Linked DNA regions of Canis lupus familiaris. The main gene of each other region encodes a partner of the protein of the gene in region 3 in a complex. Links are inferred from orthologs where the notes say so. Each region holds a gene or a part of one and is shown on either strand. Other genes may lie near its edges. The genes, in order: BMP2, BMP7 and NOG.

What was found.
Region 1: the proteins of NOG (region 3) and BMP2 are in contact, whole or in part, in a crystal structure (PDB 7AG0), measured with the Homo sapiens proteins. The link is inferred for Canis lupus familiaris from reciprocal best matches to the Homo sapiens genes NOG and BMP2. Residues at the interface, in NP_005441.1 of Homo sapiens: Ile33, Arg34, Pro35, Ala36, Pro37, Ser38, Asp39, Asn40, Pro42, Leu43, Val44, Asp45, Leu46, Ile47, His49, His199, Arg204, Arg206, Pro219, Ile220, Gln221, Tyr222, Pro223; in NP_001191.1 of Homo sapiens: Trp310, Asp312, Trp313, Val315, Ala316, Pro317, Pro318, Gly319, Tyr320, Ala368, Ile369, Ser370, Met371, Leu372, Tyr373, Lys379, Val380, Val381, Leu382, Lys383, Asn384, Tyr385, Gln386, Met388.
Region 2: the proteins of NOG (region 3) and BMP7 are in contact, whole or in part, in a crystal structure (PDB 1M4U), measured with the Homo sapiens proteins. The link is inferred for Canis lupus familiaris from reciprocal best matches to the Homo sapiens genes NOG and BMP7. Residues at the interface, in NP_005441.1 of Homo sapiens: His29, Tyr30, Leu31, His32, Ile33, Arg34, Pro35, Ala36; in NP_001710.1 of Homo sapiens: Phe365, Pro366, Leu367, Asn368, Ser369, Asn375, Ile378, Val379.

What each region holds. Positions count from the first base shown.
Region 1 is NC_049245.1:15,656,848-15,663,549, reverse strand, and holds the start of BMP2 (bone morphogenetic protein 2), read left to right. Parts: upstream 1-2,399; 5' UTR 2,400-2,474; coding exon 2,475-2,575; intron 2,576-2,869; coding exon 2,870-3,219; intron 3,220-6,702. UniProt on the Homo sapiens protein: Growth factor of the TGF-beta superfamily that plays essential roles in many developmental processes, including cardiogenesis, neurogenesis, and osteogenesis. Induces cartilage and bone formation.
Region 2 is NC_049245.1:42,954,076-42,960,101, reverse strand, and holds part of BMP7 (bone morphogenetic protein 7 precursor), read left to right. Parts: intron 1-1,843; coding exon 1,844-1,920; intron 1,921-3,417; coding exon 3,418-3,528; intron 3,529-6,026. UniProt on the Homo sapiens protein: Growth factor of the TGF-beta superfamily that plays important role in various biological processes, including embryogenesis, hematopoiesis, neurogenesis and skeletal morphogenesis.
Region 3 is NC_049230.1:31,413,267-31,418,432, forward strand, and holds NOG (noggin), read left to right. Parts: upstream 1-2,715; 5' UTR 2,716-2,800; coding exon 2,801-3,517; 3' UTR 3,518-3,567; downstream 3,568-5,166. UniProt on the Homo sapiens protein: Inhibitor of bone morphogenetic proteins (BMP) signaling which is required for growth and patterning of the neural tube and somite. Essential for cartilage morphogenesis and joint formation.

The DNA.
Region 1 (6,702 bases), on a different chromosome or scaffold from region 3:
TCCTTAATCATCTGTTACCGAAAAACTTCAAACTGAAAGTTGAATAACGGGCCGGGCAGGAGATAAAGGCTCGCCCCCGCGCTCGCCCGGACCCTCGCCCCCGCCGCCCCGCCGCGGGTCCCGCGCTCCCCGCGCTCTCCCCCCGGAGCGCAGGGGCTGGATGCGCGAGCGCCCCCCTCGGCGGCCCCGCGGCCCCGCCCTCGGCCCCACCCCGCCGCGGCTGCCCCGGCGCGCCGTCCACACCCCTGCGCGCCGCTCCCGCTCCCGCTCCCGCTCCCGCTCCGGCTCCCGCCCGCTCGGGGATCCCCGGCGAGCCGCGCCGCCGAGGGGGAGGTGTCCGGCCTCCGCGGAGACGGAGGCTGCAGGCAGGCTGCGTCCCCTTTAAAAGCCGCGAGCGCCGCGCCACGGCGCCGCCGCCGGAGTCCTCGCCCCGCCGCCTGCGCCCGGCTCGCGCTGCGCCCGCCGCTCCGCTTCCCACACCCCGCCGGGGACTGGCAGCCGCCGCCGGACGCCCGCCGCCGCAGGCTGCGCCGCGACCCGCCGACCTCGCGGCCAGCGCGTCGCGGACTACGGGGGCTGCTCCGCCGCCGCCGCCGCCGCCGCCGCCGCCGCCGCCGCCGCGCGCCGCTCACCCCGCGCGGGCTGGAGCGCCCGGCCGAGCGCGCCCCTGCGCCGTGGCCTCGGCCGCCCGGGCCGCGCCGGAGCCGGGGAGCCGCGCGCACGGCGCCGCGCAGCCGCGAGCCCAGCCCGAGCGCCGCGATGCCGAGCCCGCGCCGCCCGAGCGTGGGGGCCCGCGACGCGCCGGCCGACGCGTGAGCGGACCCCGGGCCGGCCCCGGAGCGCAGCGCAGTCTGGCCCGGGGGCTGCCGCGAGGGGAGAGCGCGGCCGCGCGCCTCGGCCGCCCGGGACCCGCCTCGCCGCCTCGCCTCGCCTCGCCTCGCCTCGCCTCGCCGGAGAATGCGCCCGAGGACGCCGGGGCGCCGGAGCCGCGGGGCGATCGGCCGGCGGGCGCCGGCGGGGCTGCGCTGGAGCGAGGCCGAGTGATGCGGGGGCGCCCCCCGCCCGGCCCCGAGACCGCCGCTGCGCCCTTCCCCGCACCCGGCGTCGCCCAGGATGGCCGCCCCGAGCCACGGGCCGCGGCGGCGCTAGCGCGGAGGGAGCGCCCGACCCTCGGCCCCCGCGCCGGGCCCCGCGTCCCGCGGGCGCCGGTGCCTGAGGACGACGACGCACCGGCTTCTGCCCTGTCCCTTCCCTCGCCTGCCCCGTCCTCCTCCCCCTGCTCGCTGTTGTTGTGTGTCAGCACTTGGCTGGAGACTTGTTGAACTTGCAGGGAGAATAGCTTGCGCTCCCGCTTCGCGCCGGTGCCTTGGCCCCTGCGGAGCCGGCCTCGCCGCCCGGACCCCGCGCCCGGACCCCGCGCCCGGACCCCGCGCCCGCGCCGCCCCACTGCTCCGCGGGGCCAGACCCGGGGCCGCGGTGCCCGGCGGCGGGAGGAGGCGGCGGCGGCGGCGGCGGCGGCGGCCCGAGGGAACCGGGTCCCTGCGCCAGGTCCTTGGACCAGAGCTTTTTCCATGTGGAGGCTCTTTCAATGGACGTGCCCCCGCGTGCTTCTTAGACGGTCGGCGGTCTCCTAAAGGTAGGGGACGAGGGCCCCGGGCTGGGGTGGGGGTACGGGGTAGGGGGTAGGGGCGGGGCGCGGGGCGCGGGCGGCCGCCGAGGGCGAGCGGCTCCTGGGGCCGGGCCGGGCCGGGCGGACGTAAACAGACCCCCTCCGGGTCCACGTGCTGCCGAGCCCCTGCGGCGATGCCCCCACCAGACCGCCCCGGCGAGCCTGGCCCTCCCGGCTCGCGCTCTTCCGCCCCTCCTCCCTTCTCTCTTCTCAGTATTTTATTAGGGCTGTTAACACTTAGATGATTAAAAAAAAAAAAAAAAAAAACCTCGAAGAAGCCCAATCTAGAGGGTGGCCTCTGGATTTCACCCGTTAGTCGCCAACCTTTGCGCCCTGCCATGGCCATCTTCTCTCCCTTCTTCAAGTTTCTCAGGGAGACCTGCTCTCTACTCAGAGCCAAGTCCCATTTAGGAAAATACTAGAAGTTGGGGTTCTCCCTGTTTGTTGCCAGGAATGCGAGGGGGGCAGTACTTAAATGCCACCTTCTGGTGACACGTGACCGAATAGGTATTATTTATGTAACTGGAGGAATATGTATGTGTGTCTGGACTGCATGGGGCGGGGGTTCGGGGCTGGGGTGGCCCTGTCCTGACACCTCTGAGGTTAAAGGCGTGGGCCACAAGTTGCAAGTGGCTTCGGAAGTTGTGGCCCTGAGTTTACTGGGTCTGGAAGTCAGAGGGAGGGCGGGAGGGCGGGAGCGAGAGAGAGTGTGAGTGTATGTGTGTATCAGGAAGTTCTATACGGTGCCTGTAAGGAAGTCACATGCACCATCCGTGCGTGTTTATATGCAAGCCAGCGCTGGGCAATGTGTTTGGGTTTGTTTAGCGATCCGGGAGGTGTCAGACCAAGCGGTGGTTTCCCCAGGTTCCCTGCACGGGCTGTCAGCGCGAGTGTCACAGAAGAAAGGTGACAGTCTTGACGCTGGTGGGGTGTGTGTGTGTGTGTGCGCGCGCGCGCGCAAATCGTGCCGGATGGATGAGAGTGAGTTGGAAGGGGGGGGAGCCTTCAGGCTCAGGAACTAGGGGCTTTCCATTCTCCCAAACGTTCGAGCTTAAGACCTTTGAAGTATCCCCGCGAGTATTGCACACCAGGTGGGCACCCTGGAGGGGGAGGCAGCGGCCGGAGCGGGAGCCCCGGGACGCGAGGGCGGGGAGAGGATTGGGCGGGGAACTCGGTGACTCACGTCGGCCCTGTCCGCAGGTCGACCATGGTGGCCGGGACCCGCTGTCTTCTAGCGTTGCTGCTTCCCCAGGTCCTCCTGGGCGGCGCGGCCGGTCTCATTACGGAGCTGGGCCGGAGGAAGTTCGCGGCATCTCCTGGCCGCTCCCCGTCCCAGCCCTCGGACGAAGTCCTGAGCGAGTTCGAGTTGCGGCTGCTCAGCATGTTCGGCCTGAAGCGGAGACCCACCCCCAGCAGGGACGCCGTGGTGCCCCCCTACATGCTGGACCTGTACCGCCGGCACTCGGGCCAGCCGGGCGCACCGGCCCCGGACCACCGGCTGGAGAGGGCAGCCAGCCTGGCCAACACCGTGCGCAGCTTCCACCACGAAGGTGAGGCGTGGAGCAGAGCGTGGGGGCCGAGATGCGCGCGGAGAGTCCCCTCCAGAAGCTCCCCACTGTGGGCCGACTGTTGGCATCCCTGGGAAGGCAGTTCTTGCCTTTGTAAGAACCTTTCCGAACCGAACCTGGCTTTACCGCGCTGCCTGTGTGGCGAGGGAGCCAGGGATTCCCCTTTGGTCAATCTGCACCCTTTTCCTGGCCTGCAGCCAGGAGAGCGACTCCTCCTCCAGGAACTGGAGAGAAATCAAGTGATGGGGAAGATGAGGGCAAAAGGCATGCCCCTAGTCAGCTAAATGTGCAAGAATTTCATAGGGGAAGAATGAAAAGGAGGGGGGCAGATTGGGATCTCTTTATGTCTGTTTGGAAGCCCTTTTGCCCTGTAAATCTGTTTCTCCTGCTTCAGCTGGGGTTTCAGGCTAGACACAGCCAAGGACAGACTTTTCAGAGATACTATTGAAGAATCAAAGCCAGGGGCCCCAAAGTCTTTCTAATTTACAGTTGATCTGGGCCTGGTTTGGAAGATTTCGAATCCCTATCTAATCCCCGTGAGAGATCAATCCCACAATCAATCTTATTGTTTCCACAATGACTTTCTTGTTTTGTGCTTAAATCTGAGATGAACTCCCTCTTAGAGACAAGGCAAGCCTTCAGATAAAAGCTTTTGCAGCAGCTGCCTGATGGTTCTTTTTTTTTTTTTCTCCATGTGCATTGAAATGTGGATTTTTTTTTTTTCTTTTATGATACTGGATGTGGTTTTCCTAAGGTACGCTATTTCTGCTTGTTTCATTAGAACAGCATTTAGTGGATTTGAAATGTCCAAGAGAAGCTATTGACATCTGTTGTACCCAAGTTCTTGGATCAATTAGTCAAAAATTTTATGTTCCACTTTAGTTCTTTTTCTACACTTTTAAATACCCTTTTGGCTTAATGCATTCCAAATAGAGCACGGGTTTCATCAAGTTCTAGAGAAATCTCCAAAGCTGTGTATCACAGAGCAGTCACTTGTAGATTATTGGGGAATCGGGAGTGAAGTTCCCATTTTCTTGCCTTGCTTCGAGGTGGTAAATTTCAGGCAGAAATCTATTCTCTAACATAAACAAATAAGAACTGTTACAGCTACCTATTTTCTCTCAGTGTGAAGGGTGACTACACTTGTGAGAACAGCACTTAGTGTTGGGAAGAAGTCCTAAAGGCAGGTGGCGTAACCAAAGGTACTTCTTCATCAAAGCAGTTGTACACTGTGAAGGGACACGGGATTGATAACCCATTGATCGTAATCCATCATTTTCCAGCACATTTCCAAGTGAGGTGCTTTTTTGCAGTAGAGCTCCCATGAGAAAGCACAGAAGGCATCCTTCTACTCCTTCAGGATTCGTTCGCTGAGAAGCAGAAGTTGTCTGTTGTCATATGTAGAAATGTTTTCACTCCTATATGCTCTGTCAACATAATCTTGGAATGATTGTAGTAGATGCAGCTCATCATTCCCAGCTGATGCTGATAAGAATTATTTTTCTGGATAGAAAAGTAGCAAGAGCAGCTATTTCAGCCACCTCTCCTGGAAATTTAGCCTGGAACCACTCTTAATTATTTTAAAGGCTAGGAAGGTACTGTGTGTCTCTCATAACTTAAAGGAGGAACACTTAAGTCGTCTGACACCTAAAACATTCAGCTGCATGAGGATCCCGTCAGTGGAGTCTGTGTATTTCTCTTTCCTCTAGGAGTGGCTTGATCAAAACTAAACAGGCTACAAATTATTTGAGTGTGTTATTTTAACCTAAATAGCGTGCTTGAGTTTATAAGTCAGAATTTATAACTTTAAAAGTATGAAAGTTATGTGCAGAGCAGTAGAGAAATTATCAACCTGCTTAAAGTCAACTTACAGTAACGTCAGATCTCAGTGCAGTTAGATGATAGAAAAAGCCATGTAATTTTTGCCTCAAATTTCATCACATCCATTTCTGTTCTTGTTATGACTAGCATATCATTCTTAGGCCACATCATGCATATTTTGAAGACCGTTTCATTTTTGTGTAACCCAGGATTTGCTTTTTATAAAGATCCTTGTGCCATGCATGGCACTAAAAATCTTTTAATAAATCATGTGATTAAGGCAGCTAGCTTAAGACCAGAACTTGGCTCCTGCAGCCTTAATGGGCATGTGTTTGGTAGAGAACTAAGGGCCTGATTCCAAGAATTACCTGTTGTTGGTTTCATTTGTGGGTGGAATCTGGGTGATTTGGTGAAATTACAAGACCAGAGATACCATGGTTATCAGATAATCAACCACTGTGTGAAGATAATGGGACCGCATGGTAGGTGATCTGAAACAGAATGATCGGTTGTCATTTCTCCTATTAAACTTTGTCTAGTCTTCTGGACAGTACTTGTCCCTTAGGAGAACCCAAGTACTCCAACAGTTTTCTTCCTCCAGTCATTAAAAAGTTCTTTGGCCGCACATAGACCTTTCGCAGCTGCCACTGAGGAAAGAAAAATCACTCCTCCTCCTGGAAGGAGTGTTCTGTGCTTTGCTGTACTGAAAAACACCTTGAAATTGGTTGACTTCACCGGCCCTGCAAAAAGCCTTTATGTTCTCCTGTCAGAGTAGAATATAGAAGGACCATCTGTTTGCTCTCCAGACTCTGAAGGACACAGTCTTCGTTTTAATGAACAATGGAATTATTTGCCTCCCTGACTAAAGCCTTTGAATAGAAAATAACCCTTTTCCCACAAATGTAATTACCACGAAAATATCCGTATAATGGGAGAGTTCAAGAAGCAACTGATGCCCTGGGAGAGAGAACTTGTATCACAAATGCCCAGTGTAAGCAAAGGATTTGGACACAGGCACCCCCCCAAAGCAGTATTTACTTGATGTGCTTCCCTAGTATCCCCGGGTCGTTCAGTGTCACTGAGAAGGGTCCCAGCAAGTAAAACAGGCATTCTCTTTGGAAGTCTTTGGGGGTCGAGGCTCTGATGCTCAACGATTGTTCTTGGACTAATATTATCTGTTCTCTACTCTTTTGGCCGTTCCTCTGTCTCCTTCCTTAATCCCTTCTCATTGAGCTATCTTGTCTTCTTTGAGACTTGCCCTTTGTGTATTTCACTAAGTAGTAAAAGGACAGTAAACGGGCACATGATCGTTCCAAAGGTGTTGGAGTTAAGGGTGGGCAGAAGCCAGATCAGGGTTCTTGAGGATGACAGTACTGTTCCTTCAGTTGCCTTTTGTTGTTTTTTATTTAAAAAAATAAAAAACTGTTTCCTTGTAACCTTTTAATTTTATATTTTTTCTCCCTGGTAATATTAATTCTCTAGCCATTATTTTATATTCTAGAAAATATTGTTTCTTATTCTCAGGCACTTTCCATTCATTTCAGGGCAGTGACATCCAGTTTTACTGGTTGGCTACGGCATCTGCTCGGTAGTGGTAGTTGTCTTATGTATTTATTTATTTTTTAAAAGACTTTATTTATTCAT
Region 2 (6,026 bases), on a different chromosome or scaffold from region 3:
GGCACCTTTCCAAGTAGGACCCACTGCGTGGTTTGGCTACAAGTCTTAGAAATACCAGTCAGGTGGCTCCAACCACTAGAAAAGCCATTGGCTCACAGTGACGGGGTTGGGTGGACATGAGGGTAGGTTGATCCAGAAAGTCAACAACAGTGAAAGCTTTCAACAGTGAAGGCTTTCTGTCCTTGCTCACCACGTTCAGGCTATGGCTGTAGGTAGTCATCAGGCTCTACTGCTTTTCTATTCCCAGGCAATAGGGGAAAGAGATGAGCATCTTTTCCCATGAGCCTTTCTTAGGAATAAAGAAACTTATTCCGGAAGCCCCCAGCATGCTTTCACCCATGTCCTGTTGGCTTGGATTGTGTCATTTGTTCTTTTTGTTGTTGTTGTTCTTATCTGAACCAATCCTCGCTCTAAGGATAACATATGGGCTGGTGAGCTCAGACCTGGGTTCTGAACTAGTCACTGACAATGGCTGGGGTTGCCATGACCCCCCAGGCCCAAGGAGGGCCACTCACCTGGCCATCTGAGAGAGCTGACCAGGCAGGGGGATCTGGGTGCATCTGGATGCCTCCCAAGTGCAAGTCAGGTAGGCAAGCAACCCTGGTTCATTTCCTTGGCTTTCCTCTTCATCCTGCAAAGAGTTGTCCTTGTGTTCCTCACCCACTGGTGTTCATTACCTTCTGGGATGCTTGAGCCTGGAGGGATCACAGCAGGGCACAGAAGCTGAGGCATTGACGTCTCCTGTATTTGTGTGTTAACTACACAAATACTGGTGGACACTGGGCCTTGGGGATCCAATGGTAACCTCCCAAAACCTTTTAGAAGAGGCAACATTTGAGGTGAGGCTTGAATATCCAGTAGAGCCAGACATACAAAGATTACGAGAAGGAGCATTTCAGGTAGATGAAACAGCAAGTGCAAAAGCCCTGATAGGAACAGACTTGACAGTACATTCACAGCACAGAAAGAAGGCTGTGGCCACATAGGGGCTTACAGGCCAAGGGCAGGAGTTGGGACATTGCTCTAAGCATGATAGAAAGCCCCTAGAAAGTTTTAGGTGGAGGAAAGACAAGTCATGAGTAAGGAAAAAAAAACCATCCCCATAACCCCATAGCTACAGGGTAGAAGACGGTGCAGGAGCACCAGAGTATGTGTGTGTGTGCGTCTGTCTGTCTCTGTGTGTGTCTGTGTGAGAGTGACAGAGAGACGAAGGGCAGAGCTTTCTACATGTTTACAAGTGCTCAAGCCCTAACGCAGATGCCTGCGAACCTTACATACTTCTGGAAAACCCCAGTCATAGTTTTCACTCCTCAGAAAAACCTAAGTAGTGTGTTTCTCTGGGAGGTCAATGGGATGTGAGTTTCTGCATTTCTTCCTGGCAGTGGGGTCTTTGTCCCAGGCCCTGGCTGTGCCCCTTTTGCCCTTTGAAAGAGGGGTGAGCATCGTGAGGTGGGCTGGCCTCAGCAGCTGAGGGCAGACCCCTCTGAGCAGGCTTCTGCAGCCAGCATGGTGGCACGTGGCTATAGTTTGGTTCCTATGTGGAACCCAGGCAGAGGTCAGCCTCCAAACAACGCACATGTACAAAAAAAGCCAATGTCCACAGAAGGATCCAGAGCATACTAGGAGCTAACATGGCGCAAGAGGGATGGGGACGTTGGTGCAGAGGCCATTTGCTAAGGATGGAAATGAGTTTCAAGGCTATAGGAACTGGAATGGCTTTCATGTCAGGAAGGTCACATTCTAGCTGAGTTCAACCGTGCTCACACCACTGCCTTAGATGGAGGGAACCTTAATATGTGTGTGTGTTTTCTCTCCCCCGTGCCTCTGTCTCCCACCAATGCAGAAAACAGCAGCAGCGACCAGAGGCAGGCCTGCAAGAAGCACGAACTGTACGTCAGCTTCCGCGATCTGGGCTGGCAGGTAAGGACGGGTGGCCGGATCTGCCCCGATGGTGGGGGCTCTGGTGTGGGCTTCCTCGTGCCCCCCGCCCAAGGCAGTGGGGCTGGGTCCCATGTGTGCACTGAGTCACGTTTCTCATCTACTTCAGTTCGGACTCCAGTGTCAGGTGTCCTAACTAGGGTAGAGAATTGAGGTTAAGGATGCAGGGATGCCTCATGACACCCAGGAGCAGAAATGTGGTGGAGACTCATGCTAGAACCAGGAGCCCAAACACTTTGAACCCTAAGCCCCATGCTACATGTGAACTTCCATCTCCACCCTGCGGCTGGCTACTTCTCTCAGGTGGGGCCCATGCCCTAGAACTCAGCTGCTGCAGGGCCGGCTCCCACCCTCCACCCTGTCTGTCCCTCCTTCCCTTCCATGATTCAGATCCCAGGGCAGGGACTGATTGGCCTACCTGGGGTCAGGGGCTTGATCCTGAACCAGTCAGCTGTTTTGGGGATGGGATCATATCATAGGACCATGACTGCTCCTTCCAGAACCATTTGGATGGAATGGGGCGAAGGGCAAGAGTGAATCCTGGGACAGGCATGAGGGTCATACAGTCTAATGACTATTTAGGATTATCTGACATTCCGGCTGCTGTTCCAGGCGCTGGAGGTGCCACAGGGAGCATTACCGTGTGCCTGCCCTCGTGGAGCTCAAATAGTCCTAATGGGGTGTTGAGATCACCAAGGCCACTGGTCTTGTTGTTCACTCCTCATTGAGCTTGTGGTTCAGCGAGGGAGTCCAGATGCTTCCCTGGGGATCATGCCCAAGCGCACTATCAGAGCACTTGCGCTCGGGCAGCGTGGAGCCCTCCCGCTGTGCTGACCTCACACTCACGGCTCCCGTGCTTGCATCCTGGTGCTGGAACTGAGCCCCAGACTCCAGCTCCTCTGCGGGAAGAGTCCATGGACTTGAGTCAGGGAGGGGTGGACAGAGTGCTAGAGCAGTATTCCGGTGCTAACCCAGCCCTGACGGCAGACGTGGCCGTGTGCATCCTCCACCGAGCCGCACACGTGCACCAGCGCTGAGCTGGCTCGTCTACATGGGCGCTTAATTCTCGATGTTGTGGGTTATTAGTCTTTCTCCCACGTCCGTGAACTGAGGGGTGGAGCTTTTGTTTGAAGCAAACTGCCAACGCGTAACCACCTAGTAGCGCTGGAGTCGAAGCCACCCTGGTCACACTGGTCTGTGCCGCCTCCCCATAAGGCCCTGCAGGTGTCTCTTCTGGGCCTAGCCCAGCCCAGCCCAGCCCCAGGGTGGTCTTTCCTTCATTTTGCATTCTGTGGGGGACCATGGAAGGGGGTCCTCCATTTCTCATGCTTCTGCAGGACACTCCCCACCCTTGCCGGGATGGTGTGGGCCGGGTCTTTGTCCTCTGTCCTCTGGGAGCACGAGTCTGGGCCGCAGGGTAGGTGGGGGCTTGGGCACGAAGGGTAGGCCCTTGTGGGGCTCACGCTCTGTCCCCTGCAGGACTGGATCATCGCTCCCGAAGGCTATGCCGCTTACTACTGTGAGGGGGAGTGTGCCTTCCCCCTGAACTCCTACATGAACGCCACCAACCACGCCATCGTGCAGACGCTGGTGAGTGGGGCCTGCGTGCCGTCTGGGCATGCTCCGCTCGGTGGGGTGACGGCAGGGTCTGGTGGCCCTGCCCAGCTGCTCCTCCAGGCTGGGGCCCTGACTTTCCGCGGGCCCTGGGCACTCCTCCTGTCATAGGCCCCTTCCTCCGTTAAAAAAAAAAAAGAGAGATTAAAGATGTTATTTTACAACAGCATTGGCATAAAGATATGTATCATCCCCGACCCTCAAGTTCATGTATTTCTCCCCATTCTGGAAGAAATAAGCACAGTTTCAGGGGCTCCCAAAGGTGTCTTGGATAATGGTCACTGTGGCTAATGGTGAGGTCAGTCCTGGCCCTGCCTCTCTGGGCGGCTGTTCTTAGTTGACCACACATCTGCTCCGCCCCCATAGGTGCCCCCGCATCCCCGAGAGTCGGGGCGTCCCTGGGTTCAGACCAGCCTGAGAGCCTGTCCACTCCCCAAACTCATGTCTTTGCCTCCTAGCCTTAAACTTTGGGGGGTCAGCCACCCAAGGGTGTCTGCTGAGCATCTTCTGCAGGTAAACCTGCCCTGGGAGCTGAGGGCATTGCAGGGAACAGCACAGACCTGGTCCCTGCCTTCAGGGCCTCAGTTTCCAGGGAGAGAAGCAATCAGGTGAACAGAGGATGCGGGAGAGGAGTAAGCAGGACAGCGAGGTGGGGCAGGGCGGGGGCTGTTTCAGGTCGAACTTCCATGGGGTCACTGGAGGGTTCAGTGTGATAAGAAGATAGGCTTTTAACAGGATGCACAGCCCTGGCGACCCTTGGTAGAAGTGGTTTTTACTACTCTACCGAAAATATCAGTTGTAATAAAAATTAGGGACTTGGCTCTTCTCCTTAGAATCTGAGGCTCAGGGATCTTGATTATCTAGCTCCCTGCCAGGAACATTATTGAGGCCTTTCCCTGGCTTGAATGCTCCTGGTGACAGAGAGCTCATTACCCAGGGCCATCCCCTCAGTCCTACAGTTCTGTTTGTTCTGAAACTTTTTTGGCTTCTTTTAAAGGTTTAGTGGTAGAGTTGGTACTGACCCACGTGTTATGTCTTGGAGAAAAAGCTCCCCTGTTCCTTTCATTTGGACCATGCTCTGCCCTTCCGAGGGAAGGCTTCTTTTTTAGCCATGCTTTTCCAAGGCCCTTCCTTGGAAAGGAAGGTAAATTCTGAAGCCCTGCTCAGGATTGAAATGAATAATGCCCCCAACCTGTTCCTTGGGCCAGGCCTGTTCCCCTGTGCCCGCATGCCCCCTCAGGCCCTGCCTTGGTGGCCCCTGGGGGGTGCCAGGGGGGTCTCCCAGGCTACCAGGGCACACCTCTACCCTCCGACCCCTGCTTCATGGCCCATGTAGCGGGAGCCTGGCTGTCCCCTGATCACCTACTTAGTCTGCGTGTCACAAGAGAGCCCTGGGATCAGAACGGGAGTTCTGATTATTCTGAAAAAGAAGTTCTGTGGTCATGTTTAAAAAGGGGGAAGGGAAGAAAAAATAAAATAAGGTAAAAATTGAGAGGGAGACAAACCATAAGAGATGCCGAGCTCTAGGAAACAAACTGAGGGCCGCTGGAGGGGAGGGTGGTGGGCGGCTGGGGTAACTGGGGGACGGGCATTAAGGAGGGCAGGTGATGTGATGAGCACTGGGTGTTGTTTGCACCTGATGAATCACAAAATTCTACCTCTGAAACAACAACAACAAAAAAGCTGATGGGGGTGGGAATCCTTGCCTGCTGGGAGTCCTGGTGAAAAACAGAGGAAATGAGCTGATGTCTGGGATTTGCTTTCAAATTATTCAAGGGTGGAGGAGGCGGTATAGATTTGTAAGGTCTGAAACAGTCCGTAATAAAAAGCTAAAACATGTGCTGGCTTATCTCAGAGGTCACAGGCTAGAGGCTGCCACAGAGTGCTTTCAGTTGGCACACGTTGTGCGTCGGAAACCTGGAAGTTTCACATAAAAATTCAGCAGAACTAGGTCTCTGGCCTGTCCTGGCCACTCGGCACAGCCAACCGCACTGCCTTTGCTTGGCCGCGGTCAGCGGCAGCAGCTGCCCTCCGGGTCGCCCCAACCCCCACTATTCCCTCTTGTTTTATTCCTCACCTGCCTTGCGCACCCAGGGGTGCTTACGCGGCCCCTTCAGGCTTTTTTTTTTTTTTTTTAATTTTTTATTTATTTATTACAGTCACAGAGAGAGAGAGAGAGGCAGAGACACAGGCAGAGAGAGAAGCAGGCTCCATGCACCGGGAGCCCGACGTGGGATTCGGTCCCGGGTCTCCAGGATCGCGCCCTGGGCCAAAGGCAGGCGCCAAACCGCTGCGCCACCCAGGGATCCCCCCCTTCAGGCTTTTGAGTTTGTTTGCCCCCAGCTCTCGTCCCCTGTAAGGTGCAGAGAATCCTATGAGCGAGAAGGAGCAGTAACCCGAGCGGCTAGCTGGCGTGTTTCTTCATTCCTCCCTTCTAGACCTTCTTCCTTCTTGTTGACGTCCCACCCAGTGTT
Region 3 (5,166 bases):
AGTGAGAAAATTGCTCTGGAGACCATTTCATCTTCCTAAGGAAACAAACCAGCATCACGCCCCCATATCGCACAGCAGAAAGAAAGGGATGTGGCGTGAGAGCCTCCTGTGTGCTGGGTTCTAATCGCACATCATTTCCCAATCAAATCAATTTGGGTTGTTATTGTGTCCAGTATCCCCATGTCATTGTGTGTGTGTGTGTGTGTGTGTGTGTGTGTGTGTGTGTTTGCAGGCTTGAAAATTTGAGAATGTTTAAGAAAATGTTTTCAGCTGAGACTGGCCCATCCCTCCCAACAGCTGAGGTTTTTTGGAAAGACTCTCCTGTGAAACACAGTGTGTTTACTTCCTTAGGCAGATGATAAATTCATGGGCAGGGGTGGGGGGGGGCACAGACAACACAGGTTAAAAGGAAGAAACAGATCTCTGGGGAAAGAAAGTAGAGTGATTTAGGCTGTCACTAGAAGTGAGACCTCCTAAGCCCACTCCATGGAGTGCTGCTGGTGATTACTGGCTTCCTCTTCTCCAACTCCTTCTTCTCCAGCTTTCTCCAGACTCCAATCGCATCCACCACAAAGGAAACCAAGTTTGAGTTTCAAAGCTTAGATTCAGGTCCTCATCCAAGGGGAAATTAACTAGAAGTGTCATTTCAACATCCCTCTCCCATCAAAGAGACACCCCTTTGCAAACAGAAAGCACCATGCAAGTTTATTTAGGATCATGGAAAGGTAGGGCTGGAAGAGGAATGTAGTGGTGTCACTAAATGCAGAAAGTAAAGGAACATGGTGCCACAAAAGGGGCTTGTCCGAGGTTAACATAGGGGGGCAGACCGCAGCCAGGACTCAGATCCCCCTGCTGCCAGGTCACCTTTCTTAAGTTTTAGGTCTCCGCTCTCGCCCACTGAGGCCGATTTAGCGGCCGCAGACAGAGGGTGCCCTATAGTCTTGTGACATTTGAGGGGCGTCTGGAGGAATCTCAGGAAGTTCGTTTACACCGAGGGCCTGGAAAGCTTGGAGAGCACAGACCCGAGCAGTCCAGGCCCCCGCAGCGCGCGCGCGCACGCACACACTATGACACGGACACGCGAGCAGAAGCGGAGCTGGGCCGGGCGGACCGCAGGCGAACCCACCTCGCGGGGCCGCCCCCGCCAGCGCCAGGTGCAGGACTCGCCGGGCGCCAGCAGAGGGCGCGCCGCCCCCAGGGAGCCGAGCAGCGGCGGCGCGGAACCCGGCCGGCTAGGGGAGCCGCAGGCGAGCCGGACGCGCCCCTGCAGCTCGGCCACTCAGGGTGCAGGACCCGGCCAAGGAGGAGGAGGAGGAGGAGGAGGAGGAGGAGGAGGAGGAGGAGGAGGAGGGCGAGGAGCGGACCCCCCTCGTGGGCCCGAGTAACAGACGGGCAGGAGTGCTTCCTAGGAATTACATCACGCTGCGCAACGCTGCGGCTCTCGGAGTCCTGCTCAAAGTGTGTGTGTGTGTGTGTGTGTGTGTGTGTGTGTGTGTGTGTGTGTGTACGCGCTGGGGGGAGGGGACTCAGAGCCAGCTCCGGAGAGAGGAAGGCGAGACGCGCCCGGGGAAAAAGCTCCGTGCACATGGAGAAATTCCTTGCGCCGGACTCTGCACCGAGGAACGAGCCCCCGGCACCGCCCCGCGGCTGCCCTCCCAGTGCAAAGCACCCAGCTAGCGGGACCCCTCACAGCCCCACCTCGAGCACCCCCCACAACCGGCCCTGCACCCTCCAGCCCGGCTCCAGCGCCGCCGCGAGCTTTCCCCAGGACTGGCCCTGGCGGGGCGCCTAGAGCCCCAGTTGCATTGCTCCAGGAGAAAGGAGGGGGGCGGTGCATTTTGCAGGAGGAGGAGAAGGGGGGTGGGTGGTGGGGGAGAGAGAAAATTGCGCGGAGACCTGCCAAGCGCCACCGCCGCCGCCACCGCCGCTGCCGCCGCCGCCGCCGCCGCCGCCGCCGCCGCCGCCGCCGCCGCCGCCGCCGCCTGTGAGCTCCGGCGGGCAGCCGGGCTGTCGGCCTCCCGGGGCATCTGGGTCCGGCGGGGCACGGCCCTGGGCGCTGCCGAAGCCGCCGCCGCGGCGAGTGCAGGCGGCTTCCCCCGGAGCCTGTGCCGCTCCGGCTCCTCGGGGGTGGAGAAGTGGGGGGTGGGGTTGTTGTTTGGGGGGAAGGAGGGGGAGGGGGCAACGCCGAGAGAGTCAGTGGTTTCCATGGTGATGGAGCTGAAAGTGCAGGAAATTTAAAGGCTTGGACCCTGCGAGACAGACAAACCGGTGCCAACGTGCGCGGACGCCGCCGCCGCCGCCGCCGCTGGAGTCCGCCTGGCAGAGCCGGCCGCGGAGCCCCGAGCAGGCGGAGGGACGCGCCCCGGACCCGCTGCGCCAGCCGCGCTGCCCCGGGCGGCGGGACGACCGCGGCGAGCGGAGGAGGAGGAGGAGGGGAGGGCGGCTCGGCCCCGCGCCCCGCGCCCGCGCCCGCGCCCCGCGCCCCGCGCCCCGCGCCCCGCGCCGCCGCCCGGGAGCAGCGAGGAGCCGGCGCCCCCCGCGCCCGCCGGCGCCCTGGAGTCCCCGCGGACGCCCCGCCGCGGCCGCCGGCCCCAGTAGACCCGGCGGAGCAGCCGCGGCCGACCCGTGCGCCGCCTCCCGCCCGCCCCGGTGGGAGCCGGCGCCGCGCGAAGGGCTCTCCCGGCGCCTCATGCTGCCGGCCCTGCGCCCGCCCAGCCGCGGGTGAGCCGCCTCCGGAGGGCCGGGGAGTGCTCTCCTCGGGGGACGCGGACGCGGCGGCAGCCCCGGGCGCGCCGGAGGCATGGAGCGCTGCCCCAGCCTGGGGGTCACCCTCTACGCCCTGGTGGTGGTCCTGGGGCTGCGGGCGGCACCGGCCGGCGGCCAGCACTACCTCCACATCCGCCCGGCCCCCAGCGACAACCTGCCCCTGGTGGACCTCATCGAGCACCCGGACCCTATCTTTGACCCCAAGGAGAAGGATCTGAACGAGACGCTGCTGCGCTCGCTGCTCGGGGGCCACTACGACCCGGGCTTCATGGCCACCTCGCCCCCCGAGGAGCGGCCCGGCGGGGGCGGGGGCGCGGGCGCGGGCGCGGGCGCGGCCGGGGGCGCCGAGGACCTGGCCGAGCTGGACCAGCTGCTGCGGCAGCGGCCGTCGGGGGCCATGCCGAGCGAGATCAAAGGGCTGGAGTTCTCCGAGGGCTTGGCCCCGGGCAAGAAGCAGCGCCTGAGCAAGAAGCTGCGGAGGAAGTTACAGATGTGGCTGTGGTCGCAGACCTTCTGCCCGGTGTTGTACGCGTGGAACGACCTGGGCAGCCGCTTCTGGCCGCGCTACGTGAAGGTGGGCAGCTGCTTCAGCAAGCGCTCGTGCTCGGTGCCCGAGGGCATGGTGTGCAAGCCGTCCAAGTCCGTGCACCTCACGGTGCTGCGGTGGCGCTGTCAGCGGCGCGGGGGCCAGCGCTGCGGCTGGATTCCCATCCAGTACCCCATCATTTCCGAGTGCAAGTGCTCGTGCTAGAACTCGGGGCCCCCTCCCCGCACCCGGACAATGGATGGAACCCCACCGACGCCCCCCCCCCCCCACCGCCCGCCTCCGCACCGTCTCCAACCAGTTCCACCACCCTCTCGCGAGGCGGGGAGGGGGGGGATTCAATGAACTTTTTTTTTTTTTTTTTTTTTTTCTGGCTACAGAGACCTAGCTTTCTGGTTCATGTAATGCACTGTTTAACTGTGTAGGAATGTATATGTGTGTGTATATACGGTCCCAGTTTTAATTTACTTATTAAAAGGTCAGTATTATACGTTAAAAGTTACCGGCTTCTACTGTATTTTTAAAAAAAAAATAAGCAAAAGGAAAAAAAAAAAGAACAGAGCAAAGAGAGACTTATTCTGGTTGTCGCTAATAATGTTAACCTGCTATTTATATTCCAGTGCCCTTCGCATGGCGAAGCAGGGGGGAAAAGTTATTTTTTCTTAAAGTACAAAAAGAGAGGGGAGAACTTTTGTAGAAGGACTTTTAAAAAGCTATTTTCCATTCTTCGGAAAGTGTTTTGGTTTTCCTTGGACCTCGAAGAAGCTATAGAGTTCAATGTTATTTTACAGTTATTGTAAATATAGAGAACAAATGGAATGACTAATCATTGTAAATTAAGAGTATCTGCTATTTATTCTTTATAATATCCCGTGTAGTAAATGAGAAAGAAGTGCAGAGCAGGATTAAAGAAAACCACTAAAATCGACTGCGCTCTCGACACTGCGATTCTCTGTGTTGGTGATTGATGGGGGGTGTGGGGGCTGGAGGGGGTGGGTAGGGGTGCCGCTGTGCTTACTACGCCTGTTGGGAGAAGGGGCTCATCCCCTCTTGGGGTGTGATGGAGATGACCGCTCAGTTTTTCCTTCTGGGGGTGGGTGGGAGGGGGGGGGAGAGGGTTATTCTCAAACCCCTCACTTGAGCATCACGTGGCCTCTGCCCAGTGTCCCAGCTTTTTCTCCCTGTGTCACCAAAGCTCGGGCCCGTCCTGACCTCGACACCCAGCCGGCCCCCTGGAGCTGACCCCAGGCTGGGCTGAGGGGCGGGGGGGGAGGGTGGGCGGCCGCTTTGTCCTGCCTGACAGGCCCTTCACAATGGGGACACGTGTCTTTCACACCTACCCTGGGGGCGGAGTGCCGCTGAAACTTGACCCCCGAGGAATGGGGGGGGGGGGGGTTGGTGGTGGGAGAGATCAGAGCGCGCCCACCCAGATCCCGTCACCCCTCCCGCCTCGCACCGCTCCCCCCCCCCACCCCATCAATAACCAGCCGGTGTTAACCCTTTGCACGCCCGGAAGCTGCGGTGATGCTAGCTATGGGATCCAGTCCTTTGGAATCCACACACTCAGGCTCCGGAATCTTGCAGGTCGGAGCCCCCAAAACCCCAGGCCCTCGGCCGGAATTGCTGGCATAGCTGGGTGATTTGACATTCGCCTCCCCCACCCCCACCCCCACCCCCACCCCGCCCCGGGAACCTAAGGAGGACACTGAGGGTCAAGATTTCGGGGAAGGGGGGGCAATCCGCATTTGGGAATGGGGTGCGCCCCCCGCTCCGGACACTGACTCCACTTGGGGGTGGGGAGGAGGGAGGAGAACTCAGAATCGGGACCCTTGAGCTGGGGGGCTAGAGAGGGGCAG